Linked DNA regions of Stegostoma tigrinum. The protein of the gene in region 2 interacts with the protein of the main gene of each other region in a pairwise test. Links are inferred from orthologs where the notes say so. Each region holds a gene or a part of one and is shown on either strand. Other genes may lie near its edges.

Region 1 (8,452 bases), on a different chromosome or scaffold from region 2:
TGATATCTATGTTGCATTTCATGATGGAAGCCTTCGTGGATCCTATGAAACACTTCCTTTGTCCTCCTCACATTCGAATGCCTTCCTTGATTGGGCAAAGAAGATTTGCTTTAGTAGTCAGAATTCAGGCATCCTAAGCATATGGCCAGCCCAGGCGAGTCAATTTTGGATGCTCGTGGCCTCAGTGCTGTTGCTGTTAGCTGCTTCAAGGATGCTGATGTTAGTACGCCTGTCATCTCAACTGATGTGGAGAATCCAGCTCAAATAACATTGGTATTTCTCAAGGGTCTTGAGGTAGGCGCGTATACATAATCCAAGTTTCAAACCATATAGAAGAGTTGATGAAGGGTCTAGGCCCGAAACATCAGCTTTTGTGCTCCTGAGATGCTGCTTGGCCTGCTGTGTTCATCCAACTTCACACTTTATTATACAGAAGAGTTGGAAGGATGACTGCCTTATGCCCAAGGATCTTGTTATCAACATGGATGTCACAGTTGTTGAAGACGCTCACCCTTAGCTGTCTGAAGGCAGCACTTGCAGATTATATGTAATGTTGAATCTCTACATCATTGTCAGCCTTAGATGAGAGGTAGCTTCTCAGGTACGGAAATGTGCCACATTTGGGAGGATTTCTCTGTTGATCTTAATAGAGGGGTGGACCAGAACTTGACCTGGGATGGGTTGGTAAAGGATTTGAGCTTTCTTAAAGTTGAGCCTGAGACAAATTCTTCAGTGTGCTTCTGAGAAGGCATTAAGTGAAGCTTGAAAATTCTCTTCCAAGAGACCAGAGGTGACATTGTCATCCGCATGCTCAAGTTCCGCAAGTGAGGTCAGTGTCAGCTTCTTCTTGGATTTCAATTGGTTGAGTTTGAAAAGATTTCCATCCATGCTGTGGACAATGTTCACACCACTGGAAAATTTGTTCTTGACAAGATAAAGGATGTTGGCAATGAAGGTGGGAAACGGCGGGTGTGATGACACATCCCTGCTCAATCATTATCTTCATCTCAAAGGATTCTATCCTTTGCTGTCAATGAGGACCATTGCCAATATCGAGTCATGTAGCATAGAAACAGACCCTTCATCTAGCCATAGTGGAGACAGAGGATGGTAATGAGTAACAGTAGACAGCCAAACTTTGACAGGATCTTCCATAAAAGTTCCTGCCTGAGTCAAAAGTCTTGCTCAGGTTGATGAAGGCCAGGTAGAGTGGTTGGTGGTGTTTCTGACATTTATCTTGGTATTGCCAAGCAATGAAAATCATGTGCCTAGGTCCACAGTTTGGTTGGAAGCCATGCTGGCTTTCAGGAAAGATTTCTTCTGAGACTGAGAGAAGGTGCTTAGCAATGATTTGGGTGATGGAGAGGAGGGAGGCTCCTCAGTAGTTCCCACAGTTCACTTTGTCTTCTTTCTTTAGTGAGCTGGAGGGAAAGATAAACAAAACCTGTAAGTATCTTGCATTTTACATAACCACCAAATATCCCAGAGCTCCTTATAGCCAATGCAGTAATTATGAGAGATGGGCCCAGTGCTTGGTTTTATTTCTTTGCAAACTTAAGTAGGACTGACAAAGTTATTTTACAAATTCTGATGAAAATCTGTGTCTATAATTCTCCAAACAGGTTGTAATTCTAGGTTTTGCCATCACAGCTGCTGTGCTGGAACTGCTGGCCCTTTCAGAGCACCAAGATAAATTTTCTGAACATGGAAACCTGGAAATAGGCATTGGAATTGCAGAGTATATCTGATGGAAACCTAAGATATCATAACTGTAGGCCTGTCTTCTAATTGGTTTCAGAGCCTCTATTTTATATAATCAATCTGAATATTTATTACATACTGCATGTAATGCAGTAAGAAAATGCCAATGGCTTTCTGCTGAATCGTAAACACTGGATATGAACGTAATAGTACCAGACATCTGCTCACAAATTCCAAATTACTAAAGAAATATGTCTTATCTTTAATCTTAATCACTTCCCAGTAGAATTCCCAGAGGGATGAGAGTGTTCGTGAATGTTGTTGACAGAACTAGCTGCTTGATTATGACCTAAAGATCCTCACACAATACATCATTAAATAAGATTTCCTTAAGAAAGAGCACTCATGGTTCAGCACAAATTATCACTCTTCGGTATTTTCCCTACCCTCTATAACAACAACAACTTGCATTTGTTTCATGCTTTTCATGTAACAAAATGTCCCAAGGCAATTTGCAACTACTGTGAAATCAAAAATTGACACTGAACCAGTAACAAAATCAGATGTTTGGTCAAACAGGGAGGCCTTAAGTATTGTCTTTAAACAATCAAGAGCAATATATAGGCAGAAAGACTTAGGGAGGGAGATACACAATTTAGGGTCTTAGTAGTTGAAGGCAGGGCCACTGATCGTAGTGTGAGTCAATTAAAATCAGAAATGTTTAAAAGCCTATCTGCAGTTGTTCAAAACAAGTCAGATAACACCAGACAATAATCACGTTCTGTTTCCAAAATTATGTATTTTATTCTTAAAATTTGTGAAAAAATTACAAAACACATGGCTCCAAATTACAGTTTGCGAGAAAATTCACCTTGTCGCAATACAATGAGTTTCACTTTATATAATTGTAATAATCTTAATATATACAACATATAGTTCACATAAGGTATACAGGCTGATGGTAAACCAGTTTGTATTTGAAATGTCAGAACATATTTTACAGTTTCATGTTCCACTCTGAGGTTCCTCAATACATTTCTATACTCTTGATTGATAATACATATTCTTTGTAAGGCACACAACTAAGCAATTACCATCTCAGTAGTATCCACCACAGCACTGACACTGAGTGATTGCTTATATTATCAGTATCAATTCAGTGTTAATCTAGTTGCTTGGTGAGGTTATATGTTAGTGCTTTGATATCATATTCTGAAATTAACCTCATAGTGTTTGATCAGTAATGGTTTATTCCTGCAATAAAGAATGTCCTAAATATAGCGCTTCAGTGAAAAGTGGCTAATAAAATTATCTTACAAAGACAAAGTATAGGAGTTGGGACATCATGTTGAGATGTACAGGAAGTTGATGAAGCCTCTTCTGAAGTATTGTGTCCAGTTATGTTTTTGGAAGGATATTATTAAACTGCAGATGGTTCAGAAAAAAAATTACCAGGATGTTGCTGGAGTAGAGTCTTTGAGTTATAAAAATAGGCTGGATGGACTGGGTCTTTTTTCACTGGAGTGTAAGAATTTGGGGGTGATTAAAAAATCATGAGGGGCATGGATAGGTGTCTTTTCCCTAGGTTGGGTGATTTCAAGACGAGATGCCATATTGTTAAGGTGAGAGGAGAAAGATTTTATAAAGACATGATGGGCAACTTTTTTACACAGAAAGTGGTTCATGTGTGGAGTGAACTTTCAGAGGGAGTGGTGGGTGTGGTTTGTTTGCATTGTTTAAAAGACATTTAGATAAGTACATAAATAAGAAGTGTTTGGAGGGATATGAGCCAAGCACAGGCAGGTGGGATCATTTTAGATTGGGATTATGGTCAGCATAGACGAGTTGGACCAAAGTGTCTGTTTTTGTGCTGTATGACTCTGACCCTATGACCTGAAAGAGCACAACCTTGAAAAAAATTGCAATATCACCAAGCTGCCCTCTACTTAAGGATAAATAGACACTAAAAAATAAAGCTGCCATTCAGCCCTACCTGGGAAAGAATCTAAATATTATTTATAGGTCAGATAATTTAGTGAAAGAGAATTAGTTCTAAAATAATGGCAATCCACTGAGTAAACACACGGCTGTAATAAATTTCAGTTTTAAAAATAATATAAGTCTTAGCCCCACAAAAGTTACTTTGCAATTTACCGAATATCCAAAGTAGTGAATTTTTCGATAGTTCGATTTTTCTAAAGCACAGAGAATATGGAAATCTGAAATAGAAACAAAAAAAAGTGGAAATACTCAGTAAGTCAGGCAGCACATCTCGACAAAGAAGCAGTTAATGTTTCGGGTTAATAATCTTTCATCTGTACAAGAAAAAAGTGGGAGATGGGATAAGTTTGAAGCAAATTGAAGGGGTGATGGTGAGAAAAAGCACATAAGGGAATGTTTGTGGTCAGATGGAGGGAAAGAAAGATAAACGACTCAAGTCAGAAGCCAAAGAAGTGATAGTGGAACAAGTAAAGAAACAAAAGATGTGTCAAGAGGTTTTGGGAACGACAGAATGATGAACAGTCGCTGCTCAAAAGCAAAACCAAGAGCGGGTAGGCAAATCAAATGTAAAAACCTCAAATCAGCAAAGAAAAATGAACGTGATTAGAGACGTTACAATTTGAAACGGTTGAATTCATTGTTGTGCCTGACAATCTGCAGAACATACAAAGGATTTAAGAACGCCCCTTGAGCTCCAGATGTTATTGTGTATAGGTAATGCCATTCATCAGTGACAATTATAATCTTAAAAAGTGCTCAAAATGGCATTTTTGGTCATTTTTCCGGGAATATAAGAACAATTGTCGACAGATACACTGCTGATAGTACCTGGAATAAGGTACATTTTGTGCGGCAATTTGAACCGTATTTCTGTTTGTTACTGTGCGCGCGCGTGAAAATTCATCAGAGTTGTTCGACATATATTGTGGTCAATTTAATGAAACAGTTCTTGACTTTGATATAAATTGTGTAAGCAATATGTGCCATATAGTTCGAGTATGCTAGAAGATAAGCAAATTGGTTAGAAATTGTACATATCCCTTACTTGCTAAACTGCAAAACAATTTAGAAGGTACAGTAATGGTCGGTCACTTTTACTGGCGTTGCAAACTGTGCTTTTACACAAATAGAGCTCATGGTTTACTTTCATCTGCCAAAAGTACTCAAAAGGTATTAATCCAATGCAAAGTCAGCTTTCTGCACAGTTTGACATTTTTCTATTTTGCCCTTCACAAAGATGGCGGGGCCCATTTAATACGGAATGATGGACGTCTTAGCAAACCAATCGACACGCCGAGTGGGCCACAATCCTCCATTCAGACAGCGGTCTGGGCGTGTGGGGTGGGGTTGAGTCTCGGAGACCGAGTTTCGCTGAAAGTTGCAAATGTTTGTTACAGTCCTGTTTGCGGCGAGCGTGTGACTGTAACAGGTTGGGACGATCGCTTTCACTGAAGATGAAGACTAAGCAGGTAGGAGTTTACTGGAGTTCGGCTTGCAGGTGCTATTTTCCCCGTCTAGCTACTGAATGTTATTAAAGGGATCCGCAGCCTGTGCCTGAGCGCGCTGAAGTGTTTGTCTTCACAAAGTTGAGATTCCCAAAAACTGCCTGCCTGCAAGCGCTGAAATTTTTTTAAGGTGCAGTTTTAAAACATCAACAGTTAATTGCTGTCTCTTGTATTGCAAGAGCCTCTTAGAACCCGACCGGCACAAGGTCCAAATATGTCGTCGGCAAGTCACAAAAGAGGAGTCAGGAAGTCAGTTCAATGCAGGCTGTGTCCTTCCCCACCAGTTGGCCCTGCCTATATAGGGTAGGTTGATATGGGCTCTGCTAGAATAGCAATCCTGAGTTACGATGGCACAGACTGAGCTGGGAGGGTAGCTTTGTTGAGAATACTGCTGGAACGTGTTTTGGAGGTAATATTATTATATGAATCTCGCTGTTGTCACAATCAAGAGATGCCACAGAATCGTGAAGTTTTCGATCGATGTTGTACCGGCATCGAGATTTTGTTTTGGAAGGTGCACACTTTTTGAGGCGAATGACAGCTAATGTGCCCCAACTAAAACAATAAAGGACCGTTTCCTGTGTCTGTGGAAGATAATTTGTCTGGATTTCAAATTGTGAAGTAGGACAACAATGTACAGTGCTGCTAGATGTTCTTGAAAGATGAAGCAACAAGAGAAAAAGTATTAAACAGCCAGATTTATGTCGCAGGTCCTCAGAGCTTTGAGGCCCAGTCACTTTGTTTCCATTTATATTTGGCACCAAGAAAGTGGTTTATAAACATTCAGCAGGCCTGTGTCAGAAGGTTGGCCCATATGGTTGGCTCAGGGATAGCTGTGTGAATGTCGATTATGTCATTATAAAGGTGCTTTGTGTAAACAGTCGGATCTTTGGCGGGATACTGTCAGGCTTTCATCAGCGAGTGGGCGAGTTAGCTTTAAATCTATGAAGTCATTTATTGTGTTGTCGGCGGTTGTCTAGGCATTTTGTTGATGTTAAACGGTTTCGTTCGTTTTACCCACTCTTTCTCCACAGTTTTCGCCCACTCTTTCTCAAGGATGTTAATTCATTGCCAGGGTGAAGTTCCTTCAGCACGAGCAGTTTTGACTATTTTGACGAATAAGCATTCTGTCAAGTGCGTGTTTCGGCAGTTAACGGGCAGAAATTTCAACCACATCGGCGGGAGGTGGGGGGTGCTAGTGCTTCGGAATGGTTCCGAGTGGGGGGCAATAAAAACCAAGAGAACTGCGGATGCTGTAAATCACTAACAAAAACAAAAGTTGCTGGAAAAGCTCAGCAGGTCTGGCAGCATCTGTGGAGGAGAAAACAGTTAACGTTTCGGGTCCGGTGACCCTTCCTCCGAGAAAGGAAATTTGTGTTCGTTGTACTGCATCAACTTTGCATTTGCAGTCAGCTGACCAAACTCCAGCCCAACCATCATCGCTACTGAAGTTGCAAGTTCAATTTAAAATTTGTCATCAAGCTGTTCGTTCTGGAAAAACCATCTCAACCACCCTTCTACTGATAGCGGAGTCTGTGCATGGGGGTGTCAATGGATAGTGATTCACAGTGAGACATCACTGGACTCTAACTTCCTCCTCTAGGCCAGCTCAAGTGGGGTAAGGCATTCCAACTGTTTTCCTTGACTGAACCTGGTCTTTGTGGGAGGAATTTAATGCTCTTCCCTGTGGTAAACTTGATGCCGGGGTGCCAAATTAATTGGTGGGATTCTGCCAGCTACCCTCTTCTGCCCTGATTAAGCCAATGGATAATCTTCTCACCTTCACTGTTAACTGAGACCAAAGTGAGCAACTAATGCCATTTATCCCACTTCCACTGTTGAGTAGAGGGAAAGGATGCTCACCATGCATGGAACATATGACAGAAATCATGGGTGGGCCCCTCATTCAAAGGCACAGTGCTTGAGTCTTACTATTTTGCTCTTGCTGCTAATTCCCAACCTGCTCCTTGATCCCGGGTAAGGTCATTGCTGTCTGGTAAGTATGTCTCAGTGGCAGTTAATTAAGTGGGTCTTCGCTAAAAGAAGCAATGGTTGACATGTGTGCAACCACTATCAACGTCTTAAAAGCTGCCCTGTGATTTAGGATCACAGCAGGTGGCTCATTGGCATTTTGAGCCAGGGAACATCTTTCAAGAATGATTGACAAAAAGTATTTCTTTCAACTGCCCTAACTATGTTATGATTAATGTTCAGAAGCAGTTCAATATTTCTGCTCTAAGAGATAACAAGGTGTATAGCTGGATGAACATGCAGGCCAAGCAGCATCATAGGAGCAGGAAAGCTGACGTTTTGGACCTAGACCCTTCAGATTCTCCAGCATCTGCAGTTCCTACTATCTCTGAAGCAATATTTCTGCTGTCTGTACTGTTGAATATCCCTAGTTTGAGCTTTTTGACCTTTAGGATCTGTATAAATGCTAGCGTGCAACAACATCTCTTGTTGCTGCGGTTGATGCCAATTCAATAGCACCCTGTGGACAGTGTTGCCCATCCTTGATCCTTGATTTGAGTGGTTTGCAAGGTTATTGAAGAGGATAGAATAGAATCCCTACAGCGTGGAAATAGGCCCTTCGGCCTAACAAGTTCATGCCCACCCCCCTATAAAACTACCTAATCTACACATCCCTGAACACTACAGGCAATTTTAGCATGGCCAATCCACCTAGCCTGCGCATTTTTGCACTGTGGGAAGAAACCAGAGCACCCAAAGGAAACCCACGCAACATGGGGAGAATGTGCAAACTCCACACAGACAGTTGCCCCAGGGTGGAATTGAACCCGGGTCCCTGGCGCTGTGAAGAAGCAGTGCTAACCACTGTCCCACCGTGTAGTTAAAGTCAACTCTGTAGCTGTAGGCCTGTAGTCACATGTAGGTCACATGCCAAGTTAGGATGACAGTTTTCCTTTCCAAAAAGGGATAGTTGATCCAGAGGAAGTTTTACAACAATTGATGATATTTGTCATGGTCATCATTATATAGGACTAGCTTTCAGTTTCAGATTTACTATTTTAATTTAAATTCCATCAGTTGCCCTGGTGGGATTTGAACCCATATCCCGGAGCCTGGGCCTCTAGATTATTAGTCCAATGGCAATACTGCTATGCCAACATCTTCCCATATCTACAAATTTCACTGCCTTCACCAATTGACCAACTACTTGGACACCTTTTTGTACTTATTTCATGCTTCTTTCATGTTGACTTCTGCATTGGTAATAGCCGGCA
Region 2 (7,387 bases):
AGCAGGGGTAAGAAATCACTGAAGCCAACGAACATGTTCATTCTTAGTTCTAGCTTATTTGAGGTACCAAATTATTACCTCACCCTACTAAATTCAAATCTTTCAAAATAACTCAGTTTAAAATGATTACAAGAGTTGAAAAACATGTAAATAAAAGTGGTCAGTTAGCTCAATTGGTTGAACAGTTGTTTTGTGATGCAGAGGGAGGCCAACAGCATGATGTCAATTGCCACACCAGCTGAGGTTTGCCATGAAGGGCACAGCTTCTCAACCTCACGAGCATAGTGACCCTCCAGTTTAGTCATAGCTCTCTAGTGGGACAGCAGCCCTATGGCCTGGTAGGACTACAGCAACTTTACCATTAAAGGAATTGTGAAGATGTCTTCAGGTCTGCCAAGGTGTTCAATTAAAAAAAAAAGTTGACCTTGGAGGAAGTATCATGGAGCCATGTACAACCACAATCAGCGATTTCCACAAAGGAGTGAAACTTAATTTGAGCAAATATGGATCCAAGAGCCAATTCCCAAAGATTAAGTGAGACAACAGTAATTTCCTTCAGCATCAAGATGGCATTTGATGCTGAGTGACCAAATGGCATTAAGGAATCCTAGCAATATTGAATCGAAAGAAAGCTCTTCGCTGGCTGGAGTCATACCAAGTACAAAAGGCTATGCTTGTGGTTATTACAGCGCAAGCACCTCAGTTCCAACTCACAGCTATTTGAAGTTAGGACCGACAATCTTCAACTGCAACACTGCCTCCAGTAAAATTTCAGAAATGTAAAGGCTCACTGATTGAACAGAGATTAGGAATAAACCATTTGGTTCTTTAAGCTTACTCTGACATTCAATAAGGTCAGGGCTGATCTGCTGTTGTCTCAACAACTTCCTGTCTTTTCCCTGTTGACTGCATCGTCCATTGAAAACCTAATTTGACCAGGTAATTTCAAAAACGTTTGAGAACATTTGTTGCTTGGGTTGTGGAAGTAATTGCAGTCTTGCGTGCTGAGCTGGTGTGTCTGAATGCACACGTTTCATCACCCTGCTAGGTAGCATTCAGTGAACCTCTGGTGAAATGCTGGTGTTCTGCGCACTTGTTCTTTACGTACCTCGGTTTGCTGTGGTGGTTGGCACCACTGACGGTTCTGTTTTTCCCATGGTTTGTTTCTCAGGTCCAGTTCAACGTGTTTGTTGAGGGAGTTCTGGTTGGATTGCCAGGCCTCCAGCAATTCTCTGGCACGTCTGTTTGTCCTCTTGACAATCAACAGCATTCCCATCAGAATTCCCACTGCTTCTAGAGGGTTAGTAGTGATTGAAAGTTGAATTGGATCAGCCACGTAAATATTGTGGCTACAAGCAAGCTAAGCTGTGAGCTTGCAGAATTGCACACAATTGGCATGGCAATGTCATTCGCAGCACTGACTTCCAATTCTGAAGAAAAATGGTGGGAATGCTGGCTACAAGTGCAGCTCAGATGGGAATTCAGCAGTGAATGACTGACCTCCCAACTTCCCAAGGCTACCACAGCTTAAAAAGTCACAACATCAGTCGTGTAACAGAATGTCACGCTGCACTTATTTAAATGGCACTCATCCAAACAAGATGGGAGGTCAATCCAATATAGTAGATAGAGCAACCTCCTTACTCCCTCCTTTACCTGCAGATGGACCATCTACAAAAGTAGTTCAACTCACCCAAGCTCCTTCTTCAAAAGTAGCTTACAACCAAAGTTCCACACACAGAAAAAGGGTCAGACTATTGGAACATCACATCCTCAATTTATTTCCAAGTCACACAATCCCAATTTAGAACAATATTTCCTTTCCTTTCCTTTATTACCTCTCAATTAACAGCCTAGAACTCATTTGCTAAAAGCTCTATCAGTGTACCAAGACAATAAGATCTACAGCAACTTAACACCTTTTCACATGAGCAATATTGGTTATGTTAGTGACATGTCCATCAGTGAACAAATATTAAAAAACAGTAGAGACAACAATTAGTGGTTACAGTTGTTACATGGCAGCAAAAGCCCAGTTGACAACTGTAAAGGAGGGGTTCCTGCACTGCAACTGGTAGACCTCTCATCTCAACAGAAAAGTTCAGGATTCACAATACCACTCCAGATAGTGGAGCAAACAATCTAAGATGGCATCAACAGAGTGCAACACTGTCAGAAATGCCAATTCAAATTAACATAAACACAGCACATCCATCTGCTAGCGGACAATCCTCTAGTGCTAGCCAAAAGAGGAAAGTTGTCAAATGCAATGCCCCCCTCATCTCTCTATGGTCATTCATTTCACTGTAGTACACGGGACCTGGTTACCATGTTAGACAATTACTTAATTTCAGAAGTTCCTTATTCACGGTAAAGTCATTTGAGGCATCACGAGTTGGCACAAATTTAAGGTGTAACAGCACTTAGGAAATCTGCTTATTTCTAATCGCTCAAGAAAACTGCGGGAGGTGTGGTGGGGGTTCAATGGAGGATGAAGTGCAAGGTATTATGTAGGGAGCAATAACATACATGGAGAAAAGTATGGCCTGGCCTGGACCTCCTCCCCAGCCTGCTTTTCCTTCAATGGAGCCGTTCCTGTAATGCGCCTGCGGATAGAAATGCAGGCAGAGGCTCACCAACTACCTCGAATCCACTTGGGCCTTAATCAGGGATTGCAGTTTTGAGTAACTGTGCATCAGTAACAGAGGAAGAGCGCTTGCAAGCCGCACCGAGAGTTCAATACCTCCTCCCCCACCGCCAGGGATTCACATCAGGGAACGAGCGGCCTGTGAAAGGAGGGAGATTGCGGAGCAGCAGGCAGCTCATGCTGTCTGTCTGCCGTTACAACGCTCGCCGGTTATTAATATTCATTCGTTCATTCATTCATTCATTCATTCGTGGGTGTCACAGCTCGGTAAATGGACACGTGTGTCTTTTATTTTACTTTCTACCTCAGTCGGTTGGTGCTCGCTGCTCTCCCGCTCTGCTCTCGGCCATTGCTTCTGTGGTCTCACTCCCGCGTTCCCGCTCGCTCACGCCAGCCGCCAATGCGCGAGCTCCGGCTTCAAATAACTGCCACTCACGCACGTGCTCCCGCCCCATGCCGCGCCCCGCCCCCTCCAACCTTTGATCCAATCGGAAGCCTCATCATCCACCCTCTTGTCAGTCACACTGCCGCCAGGCGCCCCTCCGGAACGTCCCTGCCCACATGGCCAGGGCACCTTCGCCTGATTCGACCCTCGTGTCCTAGGCTCCGCCCACCCGCTTTTACTGTTATTAGGCAGGTTCAGTCACTCATTGCATTCCCCGCAGATGTGATTTGTGACTCTGGTAGGGGGTGGTGAGCTGTACAAGCTCCGCACTGCACCGACCCTGTGATTGACGTTCCCGCCTCCCCAAGAAGCCCCGCCCCTCCTCTCCCGCATTTGCGCGAAGACAAATTTTCAAATCTGGTGCAACTTGAGGATGCAGTGCGGATGACTTAGTTTCGTTATACAGTCATAGAGCACTACAGCATGATAACAGGGTCTTCGGCTGTACTTGGTCCATGCTGACCATAGTGCCTGTCCAGATAGTTCGAATTGCCCGCATTTGGTCCATATCCCTCTAAACCTTTCCCATCCATAAAACTGCACAGCATAGTACTGGCCCTTTGGCCCATGATGTTGTCCTGAACTACTACCCTAATCCTAAAAGGTCTATCTAACCTCTATCCCAACTTATGCTATCATCCACATGCCTATCTAATAGCCATTTAAATGCTCTTAACAAGGCCAACTCCATTACCCTCTCCAGCAATGCATTCCACACCCCGACTGCTCTGAATGAAGCGCCTACCTCTGGCGTCTCCCCAATATCTACCTCCACTCACATTAAAACTATGCCCCCTCATAACAGCTACCTCCACCCTAGGAAAAAGTCTCTGGCTGTCTATTTTATCTCTGATCATTTTGTACACTTCTATCAAGTCAAAATCCATGCACCTAGCCACATGTTTTGTAAATGTTCCTATTGTACCTGCCTCAACCATTCACTCTGTGAAGAAGTTTCCTCAGTTCCCACTGCGAAAGTAAGCTGTTTAACTTTTTAATGAAAAAAAACAAAGCAAATTTTAAAAAAATCCCAAGGTAAATTGAGGGGTTGCATCATTTCATTAATAGTAATAACAAGTATTGTTAAAACTAGAGTCAACAGAGAAATAGAGCTTTGACCAAAATAAACAAAGAACTGCGGATGCTGGAAATCATAAACAAACGAAGGTTTGGCAGCATCTATGAAACCAGAAATTAAAGTTAACATTTCAGGGCCAATGACCCTTCTTCACAATCAGTTCTGCTTTTATTTTATATCACTGAAAAATGCCCTTCAGCCCATTAAGAACATAGAACAGTACAGCACAGAACAGGCCCTTCAGCCCACGATGTTGTGCCGACCATTGTGTCTAAGCATCCATCTGTTCGAATTTCATTTTTCCAGCACTTCCACCATTGCCTTGTAGATCATGTTTCAAGTTTGCATCCAAATTCTACTTAAATGTCTTCATGGATCCTGCCTCCACCACTCTTTCAAGCAGTGAGATCTGAATACCCACCACCCCCGTTGAAGAATTGTTTCCTGAAATCCCATCTAAACCCCCTGGTCCTTACCATACCTGGTTACTGGCTTGTCTATTAAAGAAAAAGGTTTCTCCCTATCAATAACCCTCATAATTTTGAACACTTCCATCAGATCATCCCTCCGCCTTTTCTGCTCTAAGGAAAAGCAAACCTAGCTGAATAGCCTGCCTTCATTGATGAATTGTTACAACTCAAGCAACATCTTGGTGAATCTCTTCCAAACCAGCGTTCCCTCTAATATTTTTTCCTTGGAGGTCTGTGCACATGACAACTACCGCCAAAAGCACTGATTGCCATGTTTGGCAATTCGGAGTTGCCATGCATGTGCACGTGCATGCATGAGCAACATAACTTAGAGGGAACATTGCTCTGCACCATGTCAAGTGCAATCACATCCTTCTTATTCTGTGGCAACCATAACTGTGCACAGTACTCCAAGTATGGCCTTAACACTACATACAGCTCCATCATAACCTCCTAAGTCCTTGTATTCAATGCCTCAACTAATGAAAGCACATATTCCATATGCCTCTTGACCAACGTCCAGCTGCGTCCAAGGATCTATAGATATGCACACAAAGGCCCATCTGATCTTCTATATTTCCCAGTCACCTACCACTCATCATGTACTTGTCAGTTCTTCTAAATTGTGGCATCTCACTTTTCTGGATTACGTTCTTTTTGCCACTTAACCAGCTCATCTATATCATCCTGTAGTCTAAGACATTCCTCCTTGCTATTTACCATCTGAGTCTGAAATTGAAATCTGACATATAAATAGAATAGTGGAAAAGTTTTAAGGTAAGTGCAAGTGACTGAGTGATAGGAAACAAGGCAGTGGTGAATGGTTATTGTCAGGCTGGAGGATGGTAGAAACTAGAGACAAAGTTGGAGGTCCTTAGGGGTCAGTTCTGAAATTACTGTTTTTCTTACACATGATGACCAAGACTTTTTGCAAGAATGCATTTTTGAGATGTGTAGATGACACAATATTTGGAAAATTTGAGGATAGTAATAGATATCAAGAACACATTAGCTGAAGGAAGGGCCAAGCATGAAGCAGATAACATTTAATGCAGTGGAATGGAACATAATATATTTCAGTAAGAAGAAAGAGAAACGTCAACAGAAACTAACAGATATAATTTTAAGGGAAGCACAGGAACAGGAACACAGAAAATATTTTGAGAATTCTAGACAAAGTAGATATAGAAAAATTTCTCCCATTGCAATGGGGTTTGGGAGCATTTGGGGTGAAGGTTAGATTCATTCTTGTTTGAGATGGCACTTGTAAAGTGCGATTGTTACTTGCCAATGTAAGCCCAAATCTGGATATTATATTATCTTGCTGCTTGTTGACATGGGTATCATAATTCTTTGAGAAGTCACTAAAAGAGCTAAATATTGTGCAATCACCAGTGAACATCCCTGCTTCTGAACTTATGATAGAGGAAAGTGATTGATAAGGCAGCTAAAGATGGTTGGGCCTAGGACAATATCCTGAGGAATTTCTGCAGAGATATCCTGGAGTCAAATTAACTCACCTCCAACAACCAGTTGGGGCTGGAATGGATAAGTGGGAAAGAATTTGCAGACAATAGTAAGAAAGAGTGGTAGAGTGCCTTTAATGTAGCAAAATTCTCAGAAAATACATCACTCTGGTGATCACTTTCCAGACATATTTTATGTGGAAAATGCCATTCACGATTTTTTCATAAAATTTGGGCTGATGCTAGTATTATAAAACTTTGGTATATGTGTTATATACCAGTATTACGCTGAATTTTAAGAAGTCCCGAAGTATTTAACAAAAATAATAATAATTTGTCTGCAATGAAGTAATTTCAAATGTTCTAATGTGTTACTGTAAGGTAGAATAACCCAATTTAATGATTCATGTTGCACAGCATGTGTCAAAGTAACAAGTTCCATCAACAAATTTGCCTTATAAAATCCCAGAAAATATTTTAATATCTACAGAAAATATTTTAATATCTACACTTTTCATTTTTATTGTTGACAAGTCATCATAATCTAAAAGAAATGCCACATCCTGTAAAGTAACCTGATTCAAATCACATTTCTTTGATAAAACTGTTGTAACATTTCACATGCAAATCTTTAAGTCAGACTTAAAATTTATTTAAAGAGATCTTCACATCCATTTCTAAGTAACGTGAAGACATGCTTTTCTTGGGAAGGGAAAATACCTTATGCCTTTAAACAACGAGTTAAATACAGATGCAATTTAACAGACATTAAGCTACACATTAAGGACTAAATGCCTTGCATTTATATTTCACCTTTCATAAAGACTGTTCAAAGGTACTTTAAAGTTAATGAAATATTACTTGAATAGGAACTACAGAATCCATTTTGTGCGCAGCAAGATCCTATGAGAAATAATGTAATCATGACGGATAATCTCATTTATCAATATCTAAAAATCAGATCATTTGATCATCATTGTATTGATATTTGTAAGAGCTCATTGTACGCAGATTGACTGCTCTTTTTCCTACAATGCAGAATTGGCCTTTATAGAGATAAGACTTTAGGCTTTAAGATCTGGATGTTGTCTTAGCCTTTTTTTTATTTTATCTGTTTTGTTTTAATTTTGGTTTTGTAACCAAGTTAGCACCACTTTTGTACACTTTTTGCTGTTCTGTGTTCCTATACTTGAGTACGCATGACAAACCTATCTGATTGGCTGCGAAGAGTTTTGGGACATCCAATCCTGATGAAAGGTGCTTGGTAAATTCAGGACTTTT

The links. The genes of interacting proteins can lie anywhere in the genome.
Region 1: the proteins of pdik1l (region 2) and c28h1orf174 interact in binary tests that used the Homo sapiens proteins (3 or more experiments, as listed by UniProt). The two-hybrid records come from large-scale screens. The link is inferred for Stegostoma tigrinum from reciprocal best matches to the Homo sapiens genes PDIK1L and C1orf174.

What each region holds. Positions count from the first base shown.
Region 1 is NC_081381.1:42,840,300-42,848,751, forward strand, and holds the start of c28h1orf174 (UPF0688 protein C1orf174 homolog), read left to right. Parts: upstream 1-5,015; 5' UTR 5,016-5,156; coding exon 5,157-5,171; intron 5,172-8,452.
Region 2 is NC_081377.1:29,406,918-29,414,304, forward strand, and holds the start of pdik1l (serine/threonine-protein kinase pdik1l), read right to left. Parts: upstream 3,059-7,387; 5' UTR 2,952-3,058; exon of another isoform or gene 2,945-2,951; intron 2,923-2,944; exon of another isoform or gene 2,530-2,922; intron 1-2,529.